2 linked regions of the Saccharomyces cerevisiae S288C genome follow. The protein of the gene in region 1 interacts with the protein of each later gene in a biochemical or structural test. Each region holds a gene or a part of one and is shown on either strand. Other genes may lie near its edges.

The links.
Region 2: the proteins of AFT2 (region 1) and BOL2 form a complex in vitro, tested with the Saccharomyces cerevisiae proteins (2 studies listed by BioGRID).

What each region holds. Positions count from the first base shown.
Region 1 is NC_001148.4:167,588-171,210, forward strand, and holds AFT2 (Aft2p), read right to left. Parts: upstream 1,752-3,623; coding exon 501-1,751; downstream 1-500. Other genes in the region: YIG1 (Yig1p), read right to left, coding at 2,183-3,568. UniProt on the Saccharomyces cerevisiae protein: Transcription factor required for iron homeostasis and resistance to oxidative stress. With AFT1, activates the gene expression in response to low-iron conditions, also called iron regulon.
Region 2 is NC_001139.9:80,221-83,236, reverse strand, and holds BOL2 (Bol2p), read right to left. Parts: upstream 864-3,016; coding exon 501-863; downstream 1-500. Other genes in the region: ERMES complex subunit MDM34, read left to right, coding at 1-359; NIF3 (uncharacterized protein), read left to right, coding at 945-1,811; EDC1 (Edc1p), read left to right, coding at 2,051-2,578; Golgi transport complex subunit COG1, read left to right, coding at 2,872-3,016. UniProt on the Saccharomyces cerevisiae protein: Involved in the regulation of the iron regulon in response to decreased mitochondrial iron-sulfur cluster synthesis. May be involved in mitochondrial organization and biogenesis.

The sequences.
Region 1 (3,623 bases):
TGCCCTAAATATCTTCTATACTACAATTCATTTTAATTCAATATCATATTTAAGTTGAGGGCATTTAGATCTTAGAGATTCATCTAAAAATAGGAGGGGTGATGTATAGAAAATGTTCGAATATCATTCCTCTGCTTTTTTCTATATGATTATTTCCTATATGAGCTTTTACTTACTGATCTCATGATCTCAGTGCAAAAATTAGGGGACCGGCACGCCTGAAAGTTTTTTAGATAATTGAATGTTGCGGTGCATTACCTATGAAAAGATGAAGCGCACGTGAACCATATTATAATCAACAAACTTGAAGAATAAAACTTTTGAGCGCATGAAGCCATGATATATCTTATTTGTATCGACATGCTTTAAGTCCTCCGTAGCTTTAAAAAGTCTAAGGTCCAAAATCCCTCGATGGTGCTGATATCACCATTATTCATGTCCATCAGATCTTGTCACATATTTAAACGTGATACCGTTTTAATGAGTTGAAAACTAAATAATTAATATTTTGATATTAAGGCTGGGTCAATAGAATTTAATTCATTAAAATGCTCATCGTTGAAATGAAGCAACGCTTCGTAGTTGTAGTTTAACATGCCAAAATTTTCGTTTCTCTCTTTGCCTAAGTTCGTAGCAATATCTGTATCAGCAGTTGGTGCGTTGCTTTTGGTATCTTTGGAAACTTTAATGATCTCATCTCCATAAGGAGCGTCTGTTTCCATAAAATTTGGTGAAGATGTTGTTGATTCTGACAGGGCTATATCCATTTTGCTTTGTGACAAGGGCCTCGTTGGTGTTGAAGGAAGTATACAAGAAGAGGACGAAGGACCTGGTGTAGGTTCTGTCAAAAGTTCCATCAGGCCTTGGTTGTAATTTTGGATGAAATTGTCGTTGCAAAACATGTTCGTAAAATCAATTTCGTTTAAGTTCGTTAAAGAATCTTCTTTCTCTATCTTTACACAGGAATTCCGCGTTTTGAAATTGTCTAAAAATCCGGTATCATGTAGATCCGCATCCAACTTCGTTTTCAACCTTGGCCTAGGTTTCGAATTATCCATCTGTCTGGATTTTATTTTAGAAACGGAGTTTTTATTTGTTTTGAGCAAATTTTTTTTAGACGTCAAAGGGGGGTTTGATAGTGGGAGAAAAATGTTATTGAAAGCTTCAATTTCCTTGGTTAACCCACAGTCACAAGAAATAATTGGTGTGACGAGTGGTAAGTTTAGACTTGCTTTATATTCTAATTCATCAAATGTTTTGATGGCTTTTTCGTCGTTCTTCTGACGAAGATTTTCCTTAAACTTTTTATAGTCATCCGTTTTAGTAATCAAATCAAATCTCAGCTCATGTGAATGTATGTTATTCATAACAACCACGTTCCACTTCTGTAACCGCACAGAGTAGGCTGCTCTAATTCTAAATGGACATGCATGGGATCTTGAAGAGGAACCTTTGGATTTAGGGTTCAACCCTACTTTCGATCGTACTGACCTACACTTAAAAGTAACTTTGCTACTATCTGATCTTTCGATGACTATATCTATTCCTTGAGGATAGAATATTTTCTGTAGCCACGGTTTAATCTCGTGCCTGTCCTCAAAAGACGGAACTGGGTCTAAATGAATAAGTTTATTTTGGTCTTTAGACATCATAGATGCTAGATTATCGGGAGATGCTGTTAACTTCATTTTCCCTGTTTTAGACACTGATATTGGCACAGATATTATGCTCTTCATCGACTTTGCTTTCATTTCTTGGGGGTCGCTTTCTCTTGATTAATTTGCGCCAGAGTTTCTGGTCACTACAACAAATTTTTTGAATGAGTCGTGTTCACTATTATGTATAGGTCCATCAGTTTAATTTGCACAGTTTTTGCCTTAATCAAAAGAAAATCAATTCTGACTAAAAGAAAGCCACTTTACCGATCTCGGCCCACGAAACGATTTTTTTTTTTACGGTGCTTTTTTCTTTCTTTTTTTTGTTCTTTCTATTTTTTCCCTTTGCTTTTCGCACAATACCGCTTACCGTCAATCGAATAATGAATGGCTCTGGTATCGTTCAATAAAATGAGAAACGTGCTTCCAGTTCAAAACCAAACAGCTCAGACAGGTTAAAGTGAAGAAGTTGAGATATATACAAATTAATGTCACTGTTATTTTTTTTATTTACATTTCCTTAACCTTTATTTAAGAAGAATTGTTTGAATGTTATTGTCATCAGTAAGAATTGTCAGCACTGGGCTATTTACAGAGGGACAGTTACCAACAAAGAGATCTTTGACACTCCTTATACCGTATTTGGCCCTAATGTCTGAGTAGCCCACGAACAGCCACCGTTTGAAAGATATAGAGTACTTGTATACCGATAACGCTGTTCCGTAGAGATGTTGCTCGGTTATAAAAATATACTTCCCATTGTTTGCTATCTGACGTCCTGTTCCTGAAGCATGGACATGAAGTTCTTGTGTCTTGTAAAATATTGGATAAACCTCGCTGTCTGAGACGGGTGGAGAAGAATTTGAATTCTCTATGGGGTCTCTTGTTGGAATGGACAGATATCTCATGTTGGTTTCGAGTAAAATGTGATTCGTTTTAAGAAGATAGTCGATCTTTTGAACGTCTTCGTCTATTTTAAGCATAAAGTTTATTTCCTTGTTTAGCGTGGAAGCATCCGATCCTAATAGATTCTTGCAGTGGAAAATCATATCATTTCCTTTGTATAAAGTAAACTGAGGGAAATTTAAAACGGACTTGACATTTGTGGTCGTGCGTAGATCTACAGGCAAATCAATGTTGGTATGGAAACTTTGAAAACTTCCATTGCTTTGTTGGTGATCTAAAGAAGTTATTAGCAGCCCATCTTTCAAACTAAAAGAAACAACGAAATGTGGCAACAAACCTGCCCAGACATTTAATATAGATAGGTGGCTTTGATGAGAGGAAGTTGAAGGATCCTTCAAAAGCAAGTGATTGTTTACGTTTCCGTTCAAGTCGCAGTTTAGCTTTAACAACTTTCCATTCTGAAATCCAACTAAAATTTGAATGGTGTTTGAATTATAACCAAAATTGCAGTCCATACATATTATTGCGTCCGATAGCAGTAAATTCAACTGCCCGTAAAATTGCTGCTTAATAAAAATCAAATGTTGGCCGTTAAAGTCATACAGCAGTAATTTTTTGTCCTCTGCTTGATTAGAATAAAAAATCCAGTACTTGCTATTGAAATTTCTAAAACTTTTGAAACTTTGTAAATCGTGGGTAGTAAAATAGTTATTAATCCGTACAAATTCCAACCCACGGTTACTTCGAAAAACATCTTCAAGTTCCTTTTCTTCGTCACCATCATCGTCTTCTTCAGAATAGTTTCCAACATCTCCACCATCCTCTCCGACATTGCTAAAGGTAAGCTGGTCGATATGTTCCTTTATCGTATCTGGAAGCTGTGGGTAATCATTATTCACCGTGTAGTTGCCATACTTGCTCGCCCGTTCGTCAAATACGTTCTGATATCTCGTGTGGTAAAATTGCACCCCCTTCCCATCCTGGTATATTTGCATAGGTATACCCATGATTTCGTTATGATTATTTTCTTTCTTGAGGGTGTTTAGCAATACATTATTATCC
Region 2 (3,016 bases), on another chromosome or scaffold:
GCAACGACGACAATGCCAAACCAAGGAGAAGAAAGATCAAATGCAAAAAGACCCGCACACCATCGAACCTACAATCACAAGGAGAACAGGCTGTTGATGATAGTACTGCTATTGAAACAGTTACGTCCACACCGGTCCAAACACCGATACCCGAGCTTGAAGAACAATCTCCCCCATATTTGAAAACAACAGTATCGATAAGGGATAAATACGTTATACCAGAAAAAATATCGCTAAATTTGGACTCCAAGAAAGATACATCTAAAAAGAAACCGTTTTACTTCATAGGTTTGAACTCGCAAGAACCTTCAAATAACTGGAAATGGGGCATGGAGGATAGCCCCCCACCATATCATTAAATTAAGTTACATATCTAAGTACATAACTACACAAATACATACTCTCCGATGTAAATAACGTAAGAAAGCAAAATCGTCTATGCCAAAAAGATTCAATGCCGTCTCCTTTCGAAACTTAATAATAGAACAATATCATCCTTTTCATACCACAATCTTAGACCATTCCTCCTCAGTGTAGCACTTGCAGCTAAAGGCATGAATCTCCTGCAGCTCTTCTTTCACAGCCTTGTTCACTGCACGACTCCTCATTAGTTTGCTTTTACCTTGAAAGAAGTCGCTGACCACCACAATATCAAACGACTGACCACAACCGTACGAAAGATCCGTCACAATGATATGGTAAACTTGCGGTATGGCTGATTCTATCCTCTCGCGGAGTCCCTGTTCAGTAACGGGCATCTTATAGTGTCGTTGGCGCTTTGTTTCTCTCCACTGAGTTGTTAGGAAATGTGATTTTGCAAATTCGTCATTTATTTTCACCTTTTCAATTCTTTCACCTGTCATATATATGTATATATATAACACCGAAAAACTTATTCCAATACACAGTCGGAAGGAAACAGAACAAGAGTCCACCGAAACGCAATGAGCAGAGCTATTACTAGAGCACAATTGGACAAACTTGTGCGTAGCATTACCAAGTTCTACCCTCAAAAGTACGCAGACAAGAGCTGGGACAATACGGGTCTTCTCATCGATTGTTCCACTGCACAAGTCACCACTGCCGATGCAAACGCTAAAACAAAGGTCCTTTTGACTGTAGACCTCACGAAGTCAGTTGCTCAAGAAGCTGTGGATGCTAACTGCAACGTAATTGTTGCTTACCATCCTTTTATTTTCCCAAGCTGGAACAGATTAAGCCCACATACAAACCCACAACACGAGACAGCTATAAAGCTAATCCAGTACGGAATATCCGTATACTGCCCTCACACTGCCGTAGATGCCGCTCGTGGCGGTGTAAATGACTGGTTGGTTAGGGGTTTGAACAACGGAGAGAACGTCGCAAAGTCTTATGCCTTGGAAACTGTAAGTGGCGAAACTGACGACTTGATTGGCTACGGTAGATTCGTAGAATTCAATAAAGACATCTCTTTGGAGCAAATTGTCAAAAATGTCAAGCGTGTTTTACGGGTTCCCTATGTACAAGTAGCATCTCTTGCTGCTCCATCCGCATGGAATCAACTCAAAATCAAAAAAGTCGCTGTCTGTGCCGGGAGCGGTTCTGGCGTGTTTAAGCAACTAAAAGAGGACGTAGACCTTTACTATACGGGAGAAATGTCACATCATGAAGTACTGAAGTGGAAAGAAATGGGCAAGACCGTTATTGTTTGCAACCACTCAAATACTGAGCGTGGATTCCTTCAAGACGTTATGAAGGGCTTGTTGCAAGATGAGGGCCACGAAGTAGTCGTAAGCAAAATGGATTGCGATCCTTTGACTGTTGCATAGCTGCTAGTAATTATATGGCTATATAGGATATCACAAATACCATACGTACTACAGTTTTATCATCCGGCTGTTCGTGTAAAATGATGTTGTTGTATCGGATAGAGAAATACGGATAGAAAAGGTAAAAGTCTTCAAATAACAAGGACAATAACATACTCTGTATTGAAGACGAAGTACTCAGCAAAGCGTAACGTAATTACACTTAGCACACAAATATACTCACACAAATATTACAAGGCATGTCGACGGATACCATGTATTTCAACAGCTCCAGGCTGTTGCCATCGGCTGGCAGGAACAAGACAAATAATCTAATCAAACAAAAAACTAGAAATAATCGTGCGAGGGGAAATGCTGCTAAGAACGCCAATAATAACAACTATATCACAGATATACCACCTCCTCAAACTCTTCCTAACGGTCAGAAACCTAACTTCGGCCATTCTTCCAACAAGAAACCATCATTTAATCAAAAGAAGCACTCTCCACCTTCTTCCCCTTCCTCTACAACTACTTTAGGTAAAAAAAACAGACAGAATAATAAAGAAACGCCACGACAGAACAACAAAGATGATACTCGTTTACTGAGTCAGAACCTAAAGAATCTGCTTCTGAACCAGAAACAATCCCCGCATGGCTCTCAAGGGATAATACCAATGGGTTGTAATGGCAGTGCCAAAAAACTCAGTCACTCTTATGCAGGCTCCACTTTCGCCACTAATGGTCCAAGGGAGGCTAAAAACTTGCCCAAACCAAGTTTTTTATAATCACCCTTTAGAGAGACATTTTTGATTTTTTTTTTTTTTTTTTTTTTTTTTTTTTTAGAATAATGCATATTTTTATTTGATATATACCTATGTACCAATTATACGAATGCTTATGTCTGTTTTGGATCTGGTCATCCAAAGCAATTTCTCAGATGACAATTTTTTTTTCCTATTTTCTGTTACAGTTCATCATTATGCTGAAGAAAAATGAAACATGGCGGTGAATAATAAATAACACATTCGTACAACAAATCTTGTGGTAGAAAACCTAAAAAAAACCAATACGATAGAAAATGGATGAAGTCTTACCATTGTTTCGCGATTCTCATATTCCACAGATTAAAGATTATCAATTGGAGTTACAGAACGATTTGACTAAAACCAATGAGGCCTTCCAAAAGAATTTGCTAAAGAACTATAACAAGATCTTAAGCTTGA